Linked DNA regions of Alligator mississippiensis. The protein of the gene in region 2 interacts with the protein of the main gene of each other region in a biochemical or structural test. Links are inferred from orthologs where the notes say so. Each region holds a gene or a part of one and is shown on either strand. Other genes may lie near its edges. The genes, in order: EGLN3, SIAH2 and DLST.

The links.
Region 1: the proteins of SIAH2 (region 2) and EGLN3 form a complex in vitro, tested with the Homo sapiens proteins (2 studies listed by BioGRID). The link is inferred for Alligator mississippiensis from reciprocal best matches to the Homo sapiens genes SIAH2 and EGLN3.
Region 3: the proteins of SIAH2 (region 2) and DLST form a complex in vitro, tested with the Homo sapiens proteins (2 studies listed by BioGRID, with this or other methods). The link is inferred for Alligator mississippiensis from reciprocal best matches to the Homo sapiens genes SIAH2 and DLST.

What each region holds. Positions count from the first base shown.
Region 1 is NC_081825.1:255,771,439-255,779,414, forward strand, and holds the start of EGLN3 (prolyl hydroxylase EGLN3), read right to left. Parts: upstream 3,015-7,976; 5' UTR 2,970-3,014; coding exon 2,418-2,969; intron 1-2,417. UniProt on the Homo sapiens protein: Prolyl hydroxylase that mediates hydroxylation of proline residues in target proteins, such as PKM, TELO2, ATF4 and HIF1A. Target proteins are preferentially recognized via a LXXLAP motif.
Region 2 is NC_081830.1:62,023,496-62,030,401, forward strand, and holds the start of SIAH2 (E3 ubiquitin-protein ligase SIAH2), read right to left. Parts: upstream 3,067-6,906; 5' UTR 2,868-3,066; coding exon 2,457-2,867; intron 1-2,456. UniProt on the Homo sapiens protein: E3 ubiquitin-protein ligase that mediates ubiquitination and subsequent proteasomal degradation of target proteins.
Region 3 is NC_081825.1:261,152,201-261,159,895, reverse strand, and holds the start of DLST (dihydrolipoyllysine-residue succinyltransferase component of 2-oxoglutarate dehydrogenase complex, mitochondrial), read right to left. Parts: upstream 3,027-7,695; 5' UTR 3,004-3,026; coding exon 2,944-3,003; intron 1-2,943. UniProt on the Homo sapiens protein: Dihydrolipoamide succinyltransferase (E2) component of the 2-oxoglutarate dehydrogenase complex. The 2-oxoglutarate dehydrogenase complex catalyzes the overall conversion of 2-oxoglutarate to succinyl-CoA and CO(2).

The DNA.
Region 1 (7,976 bases), on a different chromosome or scaffold from region 2:
CACACACAAGTGTTCAGTTACCACTACACAGCTACAGAAATCTGTTCATAGCAATATTTCCATAGCCACTTGTAAAATGTGATAATTTTACTAGATGAAGAAAAATCTAGAGTCAGCTATTATTGTTAACATGTGTTATTATAACAACAAGTATAACTCTCAAACATTGAAGGCTGTAGGAATACCACAGTTTGGTTTAACCCCCCCCCAACCTTCCACAGCCCAAGGTAAGTCCCAGAAGTCTGTTCCAGATCAATGCAACAAGCTACATCTAATGTAGGTGTTCTCCTTGTATGCAGTTAGGTGAATGTGATGACAATCTCCCCTGTGGGTGTCTGTCTCTTGCTTTAGTGCAAATCCCCTTTTTCTTCCTCCTAGTGGCCAACAAGGTACCACCATACCTACCCATACTAGCGAGGCAGGCACTTGGGAATATGTACAATAACTGACACTACAAGATGGCTCACGCACTGTGTCCCAAATCCATCCAGCTCTTCAGCTTAAAGGAATGATTCGCTCAATATAGGGTTAATGATTCAACAACTATTGACTTCTACTTGATTTGAGACTAACAGGGCTGGTCTCTTGACTAGTATTTGCCAACTTTTCAGGATATTCCCAAAAACCTGAGAAACAGCTAAGTCCCACCACAGCTAATATTTCATTCCCTCTCCCTCACTGCTGAGAAACATCATCATTCCCCACTCCCACATGCCCCGGTTAGTTTAAGATAATGCCAAAAGAAACAATTAATAAGGATTCATAAAAGTTCTCTTTACATACCCTGCTAACTGTTCAAGGTCTTTCCATCCCTCCTCTATCCCCTTTCCTAAAACCTGGAGGAAAACACTGAGATTAGAATAAAATTTGAAGTGCAACTGCCCCAAAGCTCTTGCCTGGTATTTTAAGAATCATGCAACTTTCAGTGCTCTAACAGTTACATCACAGAAAGAGGAAACATAAATGGAAACCTAGAAGAGAACGTATAATTCAGATTGTTTGCCAACCATGAAAATCGGATAAGAACTATGGGGAATTTTTCAACAATTAGTAACAGAGGGTAATGTCATTTCCATACAGGTGCAGAGGATAAAAGCAACATTTTCCAACTGACTGAACTAAAGGTCAGATAAATTGACTGGGAAATGAATTTCAAGTAGCAACTTTTTAACACATTCTTCACAAAGAAATTCTGGCATGCCCTTAAACAAGAGCAAAGTATCTTTCTTTTCATACTTCTAACGGCAAGGCTAACAGCTATTACAATATTCTTTAGTTCTGAAATAGTTGACATGAGGATGGAGACTGAAGCTCACTGGATTAATACTACCATATGAATGAAATGTTGCAAACAAAACCAAACATGTTTTAACAGTGGACAAGCACAAGTGGACATTGGTAACTCCCTCTTTCTACTCACCTTTACCAAACTGCTAAAAAACACCTGTGATAGCCAGCTGCGGACAAAGGGTTAAAATAAACAAGCAGCTCATACCAGAGTACTTTAGTCTATTATGATTAGTTCGTCAGCATTTACCTGCATTTTGCCAGCCCTTCCAGTGGAAGTATTAGAAGAAATACATTATTAGTCGACTTTATCTTAAATGACCACCATAAACTTGTAAGTGAATACAGCTTCCCCTTTGGATCAAATTGGGGAAAGTATTCATTCAGCTTATGACCCCCAAGCACAAAGAAGAATTTTTCCAACTATTTGAGCTGGTCTAATAAAATATATCAGATTTACCCAAAGATCCTTGTCTGCCTTCATCCAGGCTCAAGTCACTTCTCACTAGGAATTAGTTAATTAATTACTATGTACATTTGTTTATTTACTCAGCTGTGAAGTGGTCTCTGTGGGTACACACATGCATAAGTTTAGGATTAACCTCATCACTTCTTTATAAACAATATGAGCAGCCTGGGAGCCTGTCTTCCGATCATCTTCTAAACACCACTGCCCAAAAGACACGACATTGGGGAGGAAGAGAACAGTAACAGCTGTTGAGTGTCCTTTACTTTACAACTTTAAAAAAAATCTCCATTCATTCCTCTCTACAGCTTAACTTGGAACATGCTTCTCAATTTGCCCCGACTTCTGTGCTGCTGGGTTAAGCGAAGGATCCAGGAACTGTTTATAAACAATAACATACTCTACTCCTGCATCTGGCAGCAGATACATAAACTATGCTTCAAAGGCAAATGAAGCCTTTTTTGCTGCAGTAAGCACTGTCACCTGCTATGTCTTTTAAACAGATGAGTAAAAGGTAAATTGATGCCAAGTCCTGGGAGCAGTTTGGGGAGTTGAGAGGTGCCAGGTGTTAGGATATCAGGAACGTGCAACTCGGTGGTAGAACCCGTACAGACATGAAGCCCTTAGGAAACGACCCCAAATTCAACCACAGCAAGTCTCTTACCTTGGACCTCTCCTTGACATAGTAGTTGCCCAGCCTGGTGCCACAATACATCACCAGCCTGTCTATCAGGGACAGGAGGAAGTTGATGGCCTCGCACCCTTCCTCCGTGCCTCCGATCCACTTGATCTGGTCTCCCCTCAAGTGCCGCCTGGCGATGCCGTGTCTCTGGCCGGCCAGCTGCCCATCCTGCAGCTCCCCGCTGTAGTGCATCTGCTTCACGCGCTCCAGCACGCAGTCCCCCACCACCTCGCCCAGGAAATTGTCCAGGTAGCAGAAGCCGATGTCGTGCAGGCAGGGCACGATGTAGTCCAAGGCGATCTTCTCCAGGTCGGGGATGGGCAGCCCCCGGCACGCGTGCCACAGCAGGGCACGCGAGGCCATCTTGCCCGGCACGCGGGCGGCCGCGGAGCCGCCGGACCGATGCCGCCTCCGGCCCCGCCCCCGCCCCGGCCGCCCTCCCCGAGGCGCGCGTGGCCCGGGCTGCCGCAGTCTGCACGGAGCGGGCGGCGGGGAAGAGCCCTGAGGCGGCGCAGCGCCCGCCCCTCCCGCCATCTGCCCGGCTGCGCCCGCCCGGCACTAACCTGCTCCCGGGCGGGCCCCCGCGAACTAGAACCCGCAGAGGCGTGGGCGCCAGCCCCTTCCGGGGGCCGGGCTCGCAGTGGGCCGGGCTCCCCGGCTCCTCAGCCTCGGGGCTCGGCTGCGCGGGGAGGGCGGAGCCCGGCCCTCCACTGGAAGCAGATGTTGGGGTGGCTGTACCCCCCCCCCCCCCGGGGTCGGCGCGGCTGATCGCAGCCCGCCCGGGCTCTGGGCACCCGCAGCGAGCCGAGCAGCCCAGGGCCCGGCATCAGCTCCGTGCTGGAGGCAACGGCAGGCGCGCCGCGGGGCAGGGCAGGGCATGGCATGGCGGGGGCATCACAACCCTGTCGCCTCCGCCCAGAGGGCACGTGCAGCCGCGCGCCTGGCCGTGCCCGCGGTGCTGCTCGCGGCCGGGGGGCAGGGACCGGCGCGGCTCGGCTCGGCTCGGCTCTGCTCCTCCGCCGCTGCTGCATGAGGCCAGCACGTGCCTCCGGGCTACGCCCCTTGGTGGCGATTCCTGCTAAGATTTGAAGGTCGGGTATTATTTAGTTTATTTTGGTTTGTAAAATTATTTCAGATTCAGCTTTTGCTCTCTCTCTAACTAGTTTGTACCCTTCAGTTTACTTTGCTCTGTTAAATCGATTCCTGTTCAGCTTTTGCTCTCTCCATATTAACCAGTTCATGTTCAGCTGTTGCCCTTTCCACATTAATCAGTTTATTTTGCTCTGTTAAATCGATTCATATTCAGCTTTTGCTCACTCAGAACAGTTCATATTATTCAGCGTATGTTGCTCTTTTAAGTAATTTCTTATTCAGTTTGTCGTTCTCTTAAACCAGTTCATGTTTTTCAGGTTTTTTACTTTATTGAAACAGTTCCTGTTCAGTTATTTTGCTCTCTCTACTTTGCATTCCTAGATTTAAACACTTCATATTGCTCACTTCTTTGTGTGCTTTTCTGCTACTCTGCTTGTCGTCTTGGAAATACTTACCCAGATTTACACACCGTTCAAATTATTCAATTCTTTCTGATTTTCCTGCTTTCTGTTTACAATGTTTGTGCTGCCTTTGTTGGGTTTTTTTTTTGCCTTCCATGGTTATGTATCTATGTGCCTTCCAACTGTAAAATTTCCTGAAGTTCACACAAACCAAAGTTAGATATTCAAAAGTTTCATCTGGCTTGGAGAGAATTGTATGGTTTTGTGCAGCAAGGGGATTGTATTTGTAGTCTGTACAGCGGAAGTGTGGTATCTCATGCTTCCAGTGTCCTGCGCCATTTTGCAACCAAGCACAAAGCCAAATCTTCTGGAGTCAATGAAGCAGACGAACATGAATCCGTTAGAAAAGCGTTGATTCGTTTAAAAAGCAGACAGCCAGCTTTTCTAGTTGTGCAACTAGAAATACTTTCTCCACACAGGCAAGTTACATTGCAGCTCTAAATATAGCTCAGCAAGGCAAGAGTTTTACAGATGGAGAATACTTAAAGGATTCTTTCTTAAAATGTGCTGAGGATCTATTTCAGGATTTTTGCGAATAAGATGGACATGATTGCTCGTATTGATGAAATTCCATCGTCATCCAGGACTGTTCAAAGGCGAATAGATGAAATGGAAACTAACGTTAGGGAACAAATGACTCGAGACCTCCATGCTTGTGATGTGATGAGCCTTGCACTGGATGAAAACACAGACATAACAGGTATCCCCCCCACGTCTTGCTATAATTGTTCAATATTTTATCTCTGGGGAAGTTCACGAGGAATTGTTTTCTTTGAGTGCTATGCATAGCACTCAACAAAGATATACTTAATGCTGTCAAAGATATTTCACACAGCAACAAATTGACCTGCACAAAGTGTTCCCTGTTATCACTGATGGCGCACCTGCTATGGTGGGTAAAACAGCTGGATTTGTAAAGCTTCTGGAAACTGAGATTGGATGTCCTCTTATGAGTTTCCATTGTATTATTCATCAGGAGAGCCTGTGCAGTAAGATCTCATCTTCCGATTTCAATGAAATCATGACAACAGTTGTGAAAATTGTCAGCTTTTTGATTGCCTGCTGCTCTCTGACACACAGGAGATTTGTGTGAACTTTTAAATGATATGGATTCTGCATATGGAGATTTAGTGCTGCACAGTAATATACACTGGTTGAGTCAAGGCAACATGCTCAAGTGATTTGTTGCTGTCTCAAATCCTTCAAGCTGATTCTTGAGGAAAGTGGTCAGCAATATGCAGACCTTACTGATGACAGATGACTAACAAAACTGATGTTTTTGACAGATATCACATCACATTTAAATGATTTGAATACTAGGTTACAAGGAACACAGAAAACCATCCTTCAGCTGTCTGAAGACTGGAAAGCTTTCTGTAATAAGTTGCCTGTTTTCAGATGAGATATCGAACCATCTGCCTTCCGTTACTTCCCCAGTCTGAAAATCCATTCTGAGCAGCATCAACTGAATGATAGGGATATATGCAGCTACATAGGACATCTGGAAGATGAGTTCACATGACTATTCCAAGACTTGCAACAGAGGACCCATGTTTTCATTTCTTGTGAACCCAGACAGTACAAGGGAAAGTGATATATATATGTGGCAGAGCACAGGGTGTCTCTGCCACTTTAAGGGCCTGGAGCCGGCAGCCTCCAGGTGCCTAATTAGGGCAGCCATTTTGAGGCTTAGGCTGCTTATATAAACAAGGCAGTTTGGCTGCAGGAGGCAGGCAGCAACATCGCCTGGCTGAAGGGCTGCTGTGAACGACCTGGAGGTAAGGGGGGAGCTGCAAGGGGTTGGCAGGAGGCTCCTGGTCCTGGGCATGACCTGAAACTGCACCCTGCCAGGAGTGGGTGGCCTGGTGGGGCTCTCAGTGGCATGGGAGCCCCCAGGAAATGCCAGGCCAGTTATTACCCCGGTGAAAGGCGGGTCGGGGCGCCTTAACCCCTAGCTCCCACCACCACCGGGTGGGTTACCCATGTGTTTGTTGGAGGGCCCAGATGGGCCAGTGTTGTGAGGGGCCCGGAGAGGGCGGACCCCGAGAGTGGGAGTGATGTGGGCGTGGTGCTGCGGTTGCCCCCGAGAAGACGGAGTAGTGGCACGGTGAGGCCCAGTGACAGAGTGAGCGGCTAGAGAGACCCAGCCCAAAGGGGAGAGTACCCTCGACTGGCCCAAGCTGGGGCCAGGACTACGGTAGTCAAAGGGCCGGGGGCCCACCGCGAGGGATGCCCAAGAGCTGGGGGCCTGGGATCCCGACTGGCCTGGAGGTGGGCCAGGGTCAGCTAGCCAAAGGTTCCGGGGGAACCACACCCGAGAGGGGAACAAGGCTTCAGGGGGGACAAGGTAGCCCGGATGGGCTTCATCAGCGACTTGGACGTGGGAGTGAAATGTACTCTGTCCAAGTTTGCAGATGACACAAAGCTATGGGGAGAAGTGGACACGCCGGAGGGCAGGGAACAGCTGCAGGCAGACCTAGATAGGTTGGACAAGTGGGCAGAAAACAACGGGATGCAGTTCAACAAGGAGAAATGCAAAGTGCTGCACCTAGGGAGGAAAAATGCCCAGCACACCTACAGCCTAGGGAATGACCTGCTGGGTGGCACGGAAGTGGAAAGGGATCTTGGAGTCCTAGTGGACTCCAAGATGAACATGAGCCGGCAGTGTGACGAAGCCATCAGAAAAGCCAATGGCACTTTATCGTGCATCAGCAGATGCATGACAAATAGGTCCAGGGAGGTGATACTTCCCCTCTATAGGGCGTTGGTCAGACCGCAGTTGGAGTACTGCGTGCAATTCTGGGCGCCACACTTCAAGAAGGATGCGGATAACCTGGAGAGGGTACAGCGAAGGGCAACTCGTATGGTCAAGGGCCTGCAGACCAAGCCCTACGAGGAGAGACTAGAGAAACTGGACCTTTTCAGCCTCCGCAAGAGAAGGTTGAGAGGCGACCTTGTAGCTGCCTATAAGTTCATCACGGGGGCACAGAAGGGAATTGGTGAGGATTTATTCACCAAGGCGCCCCCGGGGGTTACAAGAAACAATGGCCACAAGCTAGTAGAGAGCAGATTTAGACTGGACATAAGGAAGAACTTCTTCACAGTTCGAGTGGCCAAGGTCTGGAACGGGTTCCCAAGGGAGGTGGTGCTCTCCCCTACCCTGGGGGTCTTCAAGAGGAGGTTAGACGAGTATCTAGCTGGGGTCGTCTAGACCCAGCACTCTTTCCTGCTTATGCAGGGGGTCGGACTTGATGATCTATTGAGGTCCCTTCCGACCCTAACATCTATGAATCTATGAATCTATGGATGACGGCGGAGTGGCTGCCTGATAGGAGAGGATCAGAGAGGGGTCCTGTTAGGATGATTCTGGGGCCCAGTATGGGGCCAGTGATTATAGTAACACCATGATGCCATCTGCGAGGCTTGGGCTGCAGTATTAGGGGAGGTCGGAGCCACAGAGCGCCCCGGCATCGGGGCACTACAATGGGCAGCCTCCTGCTTAATTGACATGGATATATGAATCAATTATCATCAAAGGCGTGGCGGGAGAGATAAGCGGGCGGTTGCCCAGAGACAGGTGGGTGGGCCACGAAGAGCTCGGCCCTGAGTAGGCCTCCTGTCACGGTGACAGGCAGGCAGGCAGGCCACAGAGTTCGGCCCCAGGAGGCCCCCTGTCACATATATATAGAACTGAAGTACTTTCAGTGGATGAACACTGAAGGATTTGAATTGGAACTGATTGACTTTCAAAGCTCATGCATCTGGGTATCGAAGTTCAAATTGCTGCAAGGTGAACTTGAGAATGAAAGGGACTGTCAACTCATGATTACAGCATGTTGGTCTTCCTTTCCTGAAAAGTATGCCTGCATGAGAAATGTAGCTTTTGCCTAGCAGTCTGTCTTTGGATCTACTTATAGCTGTGAACAAGTGTTTTCACAAATGAAAACCATGCTCAGTCCTGAGAGAAAACCATCTGACAACTGACAAT
Region 2 (6,906 bases):
GTAACATCTGTTATACCTTTTGGATGGCTGAAAAATGCAACTGGTTGAAGTGTCACACACCTTGTTCTGCATCATTCCTTTCCTAGCTGATAAGATCCGGCTTAATGGCTAGCAGTCTTTTTTCCAAGTCACTCACAGGACCTCAGCCCTGAAAAATATTTTGTGCTCAAAAAGCAATTTTTTTTTTTTTATGCTATAAAATCTTAATGTTCTGCAGATACTCTGTCCAGACCCTGTCATCAGCGATTCCACCTTGGGTTCTACACCAAGCTGTGCACAGAGCTGAAATGTGACTTGGAGACGTATGGTTGACTTCCTGCTGATGCTGAAGGAAGGAATCCTATTTATGTACCTTGCTTCCCAGGTCCTTGCCTAAAAGAGCACCCAGGCCTTGGGGGTGAGGAGAACGAGGACAGAGTTGATACAGGAAATACGTTTTGTTTAGACTTGTTAGATTTTATTCCAAATTTAGGAAATGTCCTGTTTGTGGTGAACAAGCTTTAGAAAATGAGACGCAATTATAGGGGCATGCATGTACATGCACCCATGTGCATATTTATACACCGTAAAATGTCAAATCCTTGTTGGAACTACAGTGCCAAGTTATGTTAGAATAAAGCAATTAAAACAGATCCTTAAAACAAAGAACACTTTCAACTGTAATGCACGACAGGCAGATGTTACTGCTGGAGTTTTGTTGCTGGCTGTGGCAGTGTCATGTGACCTTACAACTTAAAGTACAAACATTGATATAGGTAGGGCATGAAAGCCACTATTCTGAAAATACAAAAAAGGCTGGAATTTCAAGGACAAGCCTCAGCCTGGAAAGTAACAGAACGAGCAAAAATGCTGCTAGCTGGAAAGCCTGGGACACGTGCACAAAGGCACAGATGGTGGAAATGAAGAGGGCAGTAGGGCCTCCTGTCACTTTTTCTGAGCCAGAAGGAAAATACGTTTTTCACTCAACTTTAGTCCAGCCTCTGGGGCAGGCTATCAAATCCTCCTCACAATGGCACAAAGTCTGTTGCTTTTGTTATGTGATCTCCTGTCCCAATCCTGAAAGTAGATACATAAGTGACATGTGTGCTAGTTCCCTGGGAATCTCACTTGACATGAAGCCCATGCTAGCACAGTAACTGTAGGACCTGGACTTGTCTGGAAAATCAAAGCTCTGATAGGTGTAGCTAGAATCTGTTGGATATGTCATGAATGCATATTTCACTAAAGAGATCTTTTAAATAGATCTTTACAATATGCTCTCTTACTGAAATAAAAAAAAAAAAAATCTCTTAAGAGTTTTATCTTTCCTTGAACTTAAGTTTAACCTTACTTTGTAAATATGCTTTGTGGTTTGCCATGGCAGGAGCAGGGATTAAACCTTTACTTTACAGGATACCATGAAATAAGGTCAGTTTAAGAAGCAAGTACCCCTCAAACTGCAGCTCTGTTACACTTCCTTTTTCAGTGCGTTTTTCTGGCCCCCTTTTTCCTGTGTGAAGAACCCACAGGAATTAGAAGGGGGGGGGAGTGAAACTGACTAGATGCACAGATGTAAGTAAACTAATCATGACACTTCTCTCTATATAATAATGTTAAATAGGCCAAAAGTGGTCAGTAAGAGTGCGATATTTTTAAAATCTTCACAACCTCTTTAGTGACCAAGCTAAAATACCAAGTTGGGTAAACCACAGCTCCTCCTTCACAGTTACTTAGAGAATGGAATTTGCCCTACAAAAACAAGGCCCAGCCCAAAAAACAATGCTGTAGAATAGGTCAGACCATGAAATGGGGCTCTACCCACTTATGCAATATCATTTTTAGAAATCCAGTGCTCGTGCAATGATTCAACAGTCAACTCCCTCTTAAATGCCTGAATTACAGAATTAGACATAATGTCAGCTTGTGACACAGCTGTGAAACAGGCTTAGGGCAAGACTGCTGTACTAAGCTGTGAACATGTCTGCAAAGAGGCAAAGCAGGGAGATCTTTTGAGACCTGCTCAAGGAGATGCACGTTCCTGCTTCTTCGGCCTGTTTCTTTTCCTGCTCCCTACCCCTTCTCCCCGGGGAGGAACTGTGCTCCCCGCAACAGGCCGCACTCTGCTGCCCAGGTGGGAGGGGGGAAGCACCCCACTGTGTTGTCCTTGGGACCCACTCGCTCCAGGAGAAATGAGGAGCTTCTTGGCTTCCGCGGACCGAGGGGGGCTGGTATTTGCACAGAAGCCACACACGCGCCTGGCCAAGGTCCAGGAGCCCCCGGTGACCCGGCTGGGACGGGGTGGAGGATGTTTCCGCTCACTACAGCCTGGAAAGGGGAAGTGAAACTCCTTGCTCGCGCCTCGGCAAGTCTGCAACCACGGCGAGGCCGGGCGGGGCGGGCAGGGCAGGGCAGGGCAAGGAGCCGGGGCCCCTTGGGGCGCGGTGCTGCAGCGGGAGGCGCGGGCCGGGCGCTCTTACCTTGCAAGGGAAGAGAACCGCCGAGGCCACTTTCTCCATGGCCAGGTTCCTGATGCTCGGGGTCAGGGACCCCCTGCACGTGGGGCAGCAGCTCAGTTTCTGTCGGCATTGGTTGCACACCAGGTGCCCCGCCTGGCACTGCAGGATGGGGGGCAGCACATAGTCGAAGCACACGGGGCACTCGAACAGCGAAGTCAGCTCGTGGTGCTGAGGCGACACCGGCCCCCCGCCGCCGCCGCCGCCTCCGGGCCCTGCAATCACCGCGGCCGCGGCGGGCACCGCAGACGAGCCGGGGCCGGCGGCCGAGATGGTGGCGGCGGCGGCGGGGGCAGCAGCCGGGGACGGCGCGTGCTGCTGCTGCTTGCCGCAGGCTTTGCTAGCGCTGGGTCCGGCGGAGGACGGGCGGCTCATCGCGGTCCGAGCAAACCATGGACGTGCGGGCAGCGGGCGCGCCACGCAGCGCCACCCCGGGTCGGGGGTCGGGCCCCGGGCGGCGCTCGGCCTCCCGCAGCACCGGCCCGGCGCGGGAGAGACGAGGGGGCCGCCGCGTCAGCGCCGCCTCCCCCGCGCCCGCGGCTCCCGCCGGCTACTGAGCATGCCCCGGCCAGGCCGCGCCGCGCGGGGAGCGGGGAGCGGGGGCGGCGCCGCGGGCGGGCGGCCGGGGCGGGGCGGGGCGGGCACTGACGTGCGCGGGGACCTCCCTGGCGCCGCCCCGGACCAACGTGGCCGGCGGGAGGCGGCGCCGGGCGTGCGGGCAGCAGTGCCTGGCCCCGGGTGCCTGGAGCCCTGCGCAGCCGCGCACCTCATCCGGGCGTCCGCCTCCCGCCCGCCCGCTCCACGGCCCGCCTCCCGCCCATTCAGGCCGGATGGGGCATCCAGCCAGGGCCCCGGCACGGACGCAGGATTTGCCCTCTTCCTTTGGCCCTGCCCGGCTCCCTCCCCCGTCCCGGGAGGCAGTGAGTGGAGATTGTTGACTTTATCTGATGCGTTTGTAGAGTTCGGGTGAAAGCACGAGAAAGTCAGTATTCTCTGGCTAGTTTGATTTTTTTTTTGGTCTAAACGTAAGGAGGAAGCTGGACTGCGCCTCGTTCTTCCCGATCGCCGTCGCTGTCAATTGTCTCTCCTTTCAAGGATGATCTCTACCGTGGCTCATTGATGGGTCTTGAGGTGACTTCAGTCCAGTCCTCGAGCCACAGATCGGTCCACAGAAGTTGCGGGTCTTTCTGCAGGGGAAGTAGGATGCCGGCTGGGATTTTGATCCTTTTCCTTCTTTCGGACTCTGTCCGACCAGCAAGCACACACGAACCATGGACACTAATATCACCCAGTCTGCATTTAAAGAAAACTGTAATGATATTGGTCAGCATTTGGTTTATACCGGGGTGCCAAACATAAGGCCCCAACGCTGGATTCAGCTTATGAGCCAATGAGCTCTGTTGCTGAACCAGCCCCATGTGCTCTGTGCTGCATAATATTCTTTCAAAGGAAGCCTTGTCTTTCATGACAGTGGGCCAAAAGGACCCTGTAGTGACTTCTGAGTGTGCTCAGACCTATAAACTACTATTTTCCTACAACTTCTGGTGAAGACCTACAAGCACTTAATAGCAGCGCTTAGAAAGATTAAATGCTCCTGATTTATTTTCAGAAATGGACTTTTGCTGATATTTCTAGATTGTGTCATGATTGCTATGTTCATCAGTTAAAGCCCTGATCTCATTATTTCAGCAGCTGCAAACACATGCTTACCGCTGTCTAATTTGACCAATGCAGCTACACTAATTTCAGGCCAGTCGTTGATGAAGTACAGCTTAGAGCAGTGGCTCTCAATCTTTTCAGGATCAGGGCTCCCCCTCCACCACTTCTATGAATTGGCAGCATCTCCTATTGAGAACTGTTGGTGCTTCCTCACTTCACTTCAGTGTTTCTTGACTTGACTGGGTATTGCTGCCTGTGATAAAACTGTCAGGCACCTGCTTATCAGCCAGCCCAGGAAGAGCTGTGGCATGTATACATATTCCTCATGCAGTAGGACTTTTGATCAGCCTAAAGCAGGCAGGAGCCACCTCATGCTGTGTAGCCCTTCCTGGTTCACCTGCCCCTTCCCCTGCTCCTGCCAGAAACGGGTACTTTAGTGGAACTGTCCTGTAAACCCCTGTCTCTTGGGGGAGTGTAGGAGGGGCCTGCCCAGGAAAGGCTAAGATGAGCTAGCTCCTGCCTACTTTAGGCTGATCAGAAAGCAGCAGGAGTGTGCACCAGGGTAGTCTTACCTGGCTGCAGCCACAGTGCAACACCCTGGATGAGAACCACTGGGTTAGAGAAAGAAGAGCCACCTTAAAATCTTCCCATTCTGCAGGCTTGTTGGTTGTGTAGTACATCAGCTGAGAACCAACAGGGCTTGTGCTCAATAGCTGTTGTTTCTGGCAGGTTGGGAAAAAAGTATTCAGTGCAGTATAGCAGAATGCAAATGGCTTCATAATGTCAGCTGTTATGAGCATTCAGAAGGGATGGAACATTCGAGGCCATTGGTAAAGGACATTGGCAGTGTGCATTGTTGTCGTTTTTATCTGTGTCTTTGGAGGCTTAAGTTGAACAGTTTGTAGGAACAAACTATTCAACAGCAGTGCGCAGCGGTAGATATTGCAAAAACTACCAGTATGTGTGAATGAAGAAGAATATGTTGGTTGAGGGAGCAACCCAGAGCAAGTAAGTATAGTTGTGTTGTAATCGTGGGCAAAGATAAACTTTGGGTCTAAACCCATGAGTTTGATACCCTTGCAGGACATGGGCCTGCATCTCCATATTGTTTCAAAGTTAGTTTCATAACATCTATATACAGGAAACCCTCGCTATTCGCGAACTTCACTATTCAAATATTCACGGGGGAGGGCAGAGCTGGGAGGCGGGCAGAGAACAAGCGCCAAGGGTTTGGAAGGAGGAGGTAGTGGTGGTGGTGGTAGCAGTGGCATGTTCTCTCCTGGAGTCAGCCGTGATGGCACTTGGGCGGAGAAGGGGTCGGTCTCCAGGTGCTGTGGGGGAGCCCCGGGGACAGGGAGGGAGGTGGCGATGGTGGCATCTTTTCTGCCACTGCTGCTGTGCAGAGCAGCCACGGCAGTGCTCGGGGGGAAGGGGTTGGTCCCCAGGCACTGCGGGGGAGCCCCGTGAACAATGTGGGGGGGAGCAGGGGGTGGCTGTGGGGTCCGACAGGGAGCCTCGTCAGTATTCATGGATTTCGCCATTTGCGGGGATCTCCAGAACATATCCCCAGCGAATGGCCAAGGTCTCCTGTAGAGTTGGCGATAAAAATTGCTGGGGTTGGTGGCTTGGGTTGGTTTCCCCCCCTTTCCTGTAGGGTTTGCACCACATGTGAAAACTGTGGTGGTGTGTTAGTGTATGAGACTGAGCAAGTGGAATTGATTAGGCTGCTTTCATTGTCCAAGCTAAGTGAAGTTTGAAAATCAAATTTAATGTGGTTGAAGGCTTTTCTGTCTTAACAGCATTACACAGGTGGAGAACCTTTGCTTTTGGAAGAAAAATCTCACAGCTTTTCTTTCAATGTTAACGAAATGCAGCAAAAAAGTAGGAAGATATTTCCTTGTAGTGGGGAAAGTGCCCTACTTGAGTATGCTTATTTATGTCAATTCGATGTTCATCAGGCATTGATGTCCTCATAGCCTTCCACATGCAGAGGTTAAAGATTGAATCATTTCGATTAAGGGTTGTGGAAAACCCCATGTCCAGCGTGACCCATCAGAACTACCAGTTAGTCATGAAGTATAACTGGAAAATTACCTTGCCAGCACAATGAAGGTGTTTTACTTAGACTAGTTTTCCATCAGTTGCTGCAACTAGACTCTAGAGGCTGTCTGTACTTGCTTCTGTATCAGATACATGCTGTTCAGTCTTTTCTCAGCACTTCAGTGCAATGATATAATTAGCAAGGTTCCTCTGGTATGTGCAGTTGCATGACTCATCCTTGATTCTAAGCACTAGCAAGATTCTTAATTAAGTTTCTATCTGGGCAGAACTTTCATTTAAGGGAAAGTGACAGTAATTTCAAGTGTTGGGAGTTCATTATTTTTCTGTCACATTTGCAGAGTCCTTTTGTGCCCTGTGAAGTCATGCAAAGTATTTATGGGTTAAAGGGAAAAACAGGAGGAAAAAATCATGAGTCATGCATTTCTAATGAAAATGTAGAATTTTACAACTATTTTTTAGCATATCAGTAACTAATTAAATCATGTACAGTTAATCATACCTAGTGATAAAAGCTTGTATTTTATACCACGTTTTGTAGCAATGTCCTAGGGTAAGGTCCATAAGAGGATTTTTTTTTAAGTTAATAGGTAGACAGAACCCAGAATATTAGTTGTGTACCTGACTGTGTCAATAAGAATCTTTTCCCTAAAGAGCCCTGTTCAATTTGAATGCACTGAAAGGAAAAGGAGTAGCT
Region 3 (7,695 bases), on a different chromosome or scaffold from region 2:
GTGAAATCCAAAGGCCTCACTGTCATCCTCCTGCTGTCAACTACATGCCCCTTTTGAAGAGCATCTTGTCTGCAGACTTCTGAAGTCCTACCTGTGCAACCACTTCCTCAGTGGTTGCCTCTCCTAGTCCAAATCGCAAATGTCAGTCCTGTCCTCTTCTGCCCACACACTCACCACTGATGCTCTCCCATGATTCCTAGTTTGATGACTCACAACTCTCTTCCTCCAGGACAGAGTTCTTGAGTTTTAATTCTCTTCTTCATATATGTCATAGCATCATAGTATCATAGTATTTAGGGTTGGAAGGGACCTAAACAGATCATCAGGTCCAAACCCCTGCCCTGGGCAGGAACGGGTGCCAGGATCACATCACCCCAGCCAAATATCTGTCCAGCCTCCTCTTGAAGACCTCCAAGGTAGGACAGAGCACTACCTCACCTGGGAGTCCATTCCAGATCCTGGCAGCCCTAACTGTAAAGTAATGTCTCCTGATGTCCAGCCTGAACAATTTGCTCTAGCAATTTGTGGCTGTTATTCCTAGTAACCCCCAGTAGTGCCTGGGGGAACAGAGCCTCCCCCAGTTTCCACTGGTCCCCCCTGGTGAGTTTGTAAACAGCCACCAGATCCCCCCTCAGCCTTCTCCTGTGGAGGCTGAATAGGTTCAGGCCCTTTAGCCAATCTTCGTAGCGCCTGCCCCGCTACCTCTTGACCATGCGAGTGTCAAAACCCAAGCTTCCCCCTTTCTCCATTCCTGCTGACTTTGCTACCCTCCCAGCTGCCCAAAGCCACAACTCTGAAGTTCACATGCTTGACCTGTTTTCACATCCCGGTATTTCTTTCTCAACCACCTCCAGAAATATCCTCACTTATCATACTTCTTCCCCACTCTCAAAACTCATCATCCATGTTCCAATTCTCTTGTCTAGACCTCTATGACTAGGGTTACCATACATCCTGGATTGGTTGGGACAGTCCCAGATTTCATAGGTTGTCCTGGGTTGGAGAAAATTGAAGTGAAAGTCCTAGATTGGCAGGAACCTGCTTGCATGTGCCCAGCTCCTGATTGATTATTGATTGAGCAAAAGACTGCTCACAGCCCAGCAGAGTTCAGACTACGGAGCAGCTCACTGGCTGGGCTCTCTAGAGAAAACTGAAGCAAAACTCCCAGACTGGTGTGAACCCACCCGCATGTGCCCAGCTTCTGACCGACTCTACTTGGCAAAAGACTCATGGCTTGCAGCTCAATGGATTCAGGACTAGGGAGCAGCCTTCCAGGTGAAGGCGGGGGCTTCTGAGGGGTCCCTCTGCCCTCCCGGCTGCTGGGGACCCATGTTTGGGGGGCGGGGGGATGGCTCTGGGCTCTGTCCTGGGATTGCAGCCCCAGCCTGCTGGGAGGCATTGTGCAGCTGCGCAGCATGGGCTTATGGAGCCCAGGGGGTGCCCCCAGCTGGGTCCAGCCTCTGCAAGAAGGGGATAAAGGCCAAAGGTGGGCTTCCACACCATCCTGCCCAGCCCTGCTCCTGGGAGCCTTGAGGCTGAAGTGGGGGGGGGGGGGTTACACCCCCTATCCCAGACTTCCTTACCCTGTCCATAAAATTATCATGGTCACCCTATCTGTGACCACCTCTCCTTGAACTCCCTACCTGCCTGTCTCTTCCCATTCTGTTATATTCAACATGACAACCAAAATTATCTTCCTAGCCCAATGCATCTCCCTGCATGTAATCAACTGACTTACAGTCTCATTTTATGTACAGTAAAAATACTTTATGCTTGTTCTTCTGGTTTTCACTTCTCTACCTGGGGTCCTACCCACCACTCTGAAGGGTGCATACCAATAAAAAGATACTTAAGAAACTCTTTGATTTTAATATTTTTAAAATATAAGCCTGTCTGAAATTAATTTTGCAAGTTGTGACCACCCACATATTAAGGCCTACACTTATGTTTATCTATTAAAAGAATTTAAGTTGCTTAAAACATCTGAATAGCACATGGCGACTACTGAAGTTGCACCAAGAAACCAAGGACTGGGTGGAAATCACTGCTGAAGCAGGTGGAGGTGGAGTCTGTTAAATAAACCAGTTTGACAGCAAGAGCTGCTTCTGCAGGTGCAGAGAATGCTTTCGTTCCCAAGCAAAGTCAATTCAAGGACTAGCTCGTTTTGAATTGGAAAAAAAATGTTGGGAGATGAGCAGACAGTAAAACAGCCCCTTTGCCAAGCTGTGGGCACCAAGTAATTGACAGGTCAAGATCAACTAGCTCTAAAAATCTTGAGAAACAGGATGCTGCTGCTCCAGCAGCTGCCAGCGCAGCTGGCAGTGCAGCAGGGAGTGAGTCCAGTACAACGAGAACTAGCCTTTGCACTGCTCCAGGCCGGGAAAACTTTAAACACAACTTTTTTCTGGGCGGAGGTGCAGCAGGAGCTTCCCCTGCCCACCCGGCTCCGCTGCCTCCGGCCCCTTCTAGCTCCCGCCTGTTCTTCCAACCCGGTGCCGGGCCAGGCCGCACAAGCCGAGGCCGGTCCAACGCCCGAGCGCGCGCTGCGGCTCCTCGTGTCGCGCCAGTGCCCAGCGCAGCCGCGTTGTGCTGAACACGGACCCGGCGGACAACCCGACCCGCTGCCGGCTACCAACACAGGTGCGGCGAGGCCGCGACCAGGCCTCAGGACCCCGACCCGGCCCCGGCCGCCCGGGCGGCTCCTCCCGTCCTCAGGCCCAGTCCCAGTCCCGGCCCTCCTGCCCCCCGCTACGGGGAAGCGCTACGTGCCAGGGCGGCAGGAGCCCTTGCGAGGTGGGGCGGGGCGCTGTGTCCCTCCCGCCCACCCGAGGGTCTCTGGTGGCGGCACCGCCCCCACCCCAGTGCCCTTGACAGGACTATGCCGTGCCGTGCCGTGCCGTGCCGTGGCGTGGCTTGGCTCGGCTCGGCTCGTCCCGCCCGTACCTGCCGCAGGGCATTGAGCGCCCGGCTCAGACAGCGGGACCGGGACAGCAGCGGCAACATCGCGGCGGCGGCGGCGACGTGAAGGCGAACACCGGAAACAGGCCCCGGGCAGGCCGGAAACGGAGCGGACCGAACCAAGCACCCTTCAGCGCAGGGGGAGCCGGGAGGGTCGTACCAAACATGGGGGAGGGTGAGAAACCGAAACGTCCTGACGGGACAAAACCACCGGGAGGAGGAGAAAGAGGACTCAACCACCTTGAAGGGCGGCTGCGAGCCCCGGTGGGCCTGCTGAGGACTGGACCACTCTGAGCAGGACAGGGGGGCCTTGATGTTATCTGGCTTGCGCTCCCTCTCCCCCGCCAGGCGTCTTGGTACTGGCTGCCGGTCCCTGCCCCAGGCAACCTTCAGCCATGCAGGGCAGGGGCAGGTTGTGAATTAGCCCATGGGCACCTGACTTGAGGAGCTTGATGCTGCCCACGGGAGCTGGGGAGCCCAGGGTGAGCAGGGATGGGCCTGGCAGCAGTGGTGGCAGTGCAGACACCAGCAGAGGTGATGTGGAGATCTGGCAGCACAGGGCAGGAGGCTGCACTCCCTAGCCAGGCTGTGCCCTGGCTTCCCAGTGGACAGGAGGCCCCTGAGTCCTGGCTCCCAGATCTGGGGCTGTAGCCAGAGACTGGGGGTCCCACGCCCCTCCCTAGAGCACTAGTGCCTGGGTTCCCCCAGCAGGCTGCCTCCAGGGAGCTAGCAACGCTTGGCTCCCACCTGCCAACACTGCCCTAGGGCTAGCTCACCCCAGCGATGTTCCCGCCATGAGGCTGGAGTTCCAGCGTGGCTGTGACGGACACTGGGACGCCACCAGGCCACAGGGCAGGCCCTCCACACAGCTGCAGAGGGAAAAGAAATGTGCAGCAAGCTCCCACCTTTATGCAGAGGGAAGGGTGGGATTCTCTCACCTGACCATGGCTCTGGCTGAATGCTGTGCTCCTGTGCAGGCTACGCTGTGAGATGCCCTGTTGCTTTCAGTGTACATGATGTTGCATGAGTTGAGACAGAGCCTCTGTTCACATCATAAAGGGCTGTATTAGAATTAGGCATCTGCAGAAGGGAACAAGAGTTAGAACTGGGTGCTGCGTTATCTTGAGCATTTCCTACTTTTTTTAAGTGCTCAATGGTGTAATGGCACTACTAACTTAATGTCGTTTTGTAAAGAATTTCCTCGAGGAAGGAGTACAGGAAAGGGAGAAGAAAGCAAAAGGAGGAGGTGGAACCTTTGAAACCTGTTTGGTGTGTAAAAAAGAACTAAAAAGGAATAAAAACAAATGGAACTGATACAGCTTTTGGAGCAGTGCATCTCTAGTATGCTGCTCTCCTTGAGCACAACAAATAGAAACCAGCTGCCTTGAATCGAAGACTGCTGCCTAGTAGGAAGAATGCATATCATAGCAATTGTAAAGTACCTGGATACAAATGAATGAGATAAGAGTTTTACTGAGAGATTTAATTCAGTTGAGCTCAAATAAAACTGCATGAGCCATTGTATTTTGTCTGGCTCCTTGTTCAAACTGTTCAGCAGGTAGCAGGTAACAAATCCAACAGGCTTTTTTGAATGAGATATGTGAGAGACTTGGGTTACTCTTTGGAGTCTGTTCCTCTGGTCAGGCAGATTATTTCTCACAGTTTATATATTAGGGACTTGTCCAGTGCTGAGGGGAGAACACTTACCTATCAGCTATGCTGAACAGCTGGCTCTAATGCAGGGGTGGGCAAAATGCGGCCCACGGGCCAGATATGGCCTGCCAGGTCGTTCTATCCAGCCCGCAGGGCCCCTAAAAAATTTAGAAAATTAATATTTATCTGCCCCTGGCTGCCTGACATGCAGCCCTCGATGGCTTGCCAAAACTCAGTAAGTGTCCCTCCGCCCAAAATAATTGCCCGCCCCTACTCTAATGGCTAGAGTTTACATCTGAAAACATACAATACTAAGTATTATTATTTAGATGATGTTCCTTTTCTAGGTGTGTCATACAGTGTTGCCACCTCTCATGATTTTTGTCATTCTTAAAGTCTACGCTATGGGAATGTGAAAAACTTAGCTCCTTCTTTTATATTATATATATATATATATATATATATATATATATATATTGTGTGTGTGTGTGTGTATGTGTGTGTATATATATATATATATATATATATACACACACACACATATATAAAAGAAAGAGCTTTTATATATAAAAGAAAGCTAAGTTCTTCACATTCCCAAAGCATATACTTTAAGAACACTGGCAAAAATCATGAGAGTTAGCAATACTGCACATACACCTCAAAGATCTAGCTGCAGTGAAGAAAAGAAACCTTCATCATCAACACATTAGAAACCACTGGTAACCTATGCTGTGTTCCTTAAGGCGGCGGTTTTTAAACTGGGGGGCATGCTGTCTGGGGGCGGGGAGGGGGGGCGCAAAGGAATGTGGGGGGCACCATGTGCAAGGCATATTTTACTTTTAAAAATTATTATCATCATTATTAGTATTATATTTGACAACATCACACACTGAAATAGTATGAGTGAACTTTTTGCAACTGATTTCACAGGTGTTACAATGCATTTAATTAAACCAGTGATCATTTCCATAGCAACATTTCCCACCTTCCAGTTTAGTACACCTATCATATCTACTCTTACAAGACAAAAAAATCACAACAAGCATTTTGCAGTGCAACTTATTCTGCCGGTGAGTTCGATATTTTCATACTATTGAGGTGAAACTGGATCGGTACTTATTGCCAAAAGATACTGTTACGAAACGGAAGGCAGAAGCTGAAACGGCTAAAGTCGTTAAGTATAATATCTGTGAATATCAATTTCAATCTGTGAACTAGAAACCTACAGGTGTAGGTAATTTAATTAAGTAAGTTAAGTTGTGTTTGTTAAGTTTATGAAAGCATATTTTGCATGTCTGTTTTTGTCTGGGTTGGGGTGGAGGGGGGCTCAAACAAAATTGTGACTCTTATTAAACTGAGCCCCTCTGTTTGAAAACCACTGCTTTGGGGCTGTCTACAATGTCTGTATCCTTCAGCTTCCCCTTCCAGCACCATTTTTACTAGCTGCAAAGAGGCCCTACTTGCTTCTAGCACTGGTGGATCCATCATGGATGGTGGGACAGTACATTTCCAGACTAGGTTCAGATTCCAAGTCCTGAATAGAACAAAGTGCTACTGGGCCCTGCTTTACAGTAACTGCGGTCCTTTACCATTTGGCATTAACTCACTTCCCCTGCCCAGCTTCACAGTCTCCTACAAGTCAGTTCTGCCTTACGTCCTGCTGTTCCAATCCTCACCACCCCTAACACATCCCAGCCAACGCATCTCTCTCCTGATTGCTTCTCAACCTCTTGTGGGCTAAGATCAAGTGTAGTCGCTGCACTGGTTAGTTACCCAAACCAACATGGATTTAAATGGCATTGTGTAATGGAGGGTGCATGCCTGTTCAATGCACTGTGGACAGGATGCCCTACAAGAGTCTTGTAAATAGATTCCTGCTGGCCAGCTTCCAGTGGGAGGATCTTGGCTGCACACCTACTTTATGGAAATGGGGGACTCCTCTCTAGCTTGCTTCTGTGCTATTTGGTTAAGGACAAGTGGGACTCTGTGGCATCCAAACCCCAAGCTTCTGGGCTTGGGCCTGTACATAGGATGCCCATCAATGGATTTAGGAGTATCTGAAGCCCGAGGCTGAAAAGTCGGGGGTGGAGGATACTTGTCAGTTGTAGCACCACATATAGTGTTCAAATGATTGAGAGTTGCTCAGTCAAGAGGATTTGGAACTGATTTGGCTAATTTGACATGGAATATGAAAATTATTCCTCCCCCCAAAAACTTCTCTCCTGATGTGCAACAAGATAGAACCCAGAAGGTTATACGCAAAATTATTCTATCGGTACACACAACCCTGCGTGGTTAGCAGTGTTGCCATTTACAGACCCTCTGAGCTTGTTGAGTGGTCTGTGTATCTGAGCATCCCAGCAGCAGAATGGAAGGTGCCCTGATCCCTATTACTGAACCTGACCCTTCTCCATCTGCATATTCAGAAGTACCTTGAAGCTGGTTGGCTGCTACTGGCTTCCCCACCCCATTCTAGTAGGGACTGAGCTCAGATAGAGTCTTCAATGCCAGCGTGACTGCTTCAGTGCCCCTTCCCACTCAGCACTTTCTCTCCAAAAAACCCTGGGAACACAAGGTACTCTGCGGACAGCTGCATTCCTGCTGTAGCTAAGGTAAGTGCACCGTCTTTGTGGCTGGGTTTTTGGTTGTAGCCGGGTTGGTCTAAGGACATAGGCAGGCAAGGCTCTTTGGGTAGATGTGATATCTTTTATTAGACCAACTGAGTAGCTGAGGGGAAAAAGTTCTTTGCAAGCTTTCAGGCACAATTGCTATTCTTCAAGCAGAGGAAGTCTCTGCTGTTCTGAAACTCCAAGGAATGAAAGAAACATTCCCTGGAGTCTCAGAACAGCAGAGACTTCCTATGCCTGAAGAGGGGTGATTGCACCCAAAAGCTTGCAAAGAACTTTTCCCCATCTACTGAGTTGGTCTAATAAAAGATATCACATCTACCCAAAGAACCTTGCCGTCTCTGTGGGGCACCAGGCCTGCTCTGGCTGTTCACTGGAAACTGGGAAATCTAGAAGTCGGGGGGATCTCTTGATAGCAAGGTTTTGCAGAACCTGGTTTTTCTGAGGAGGATTAGGC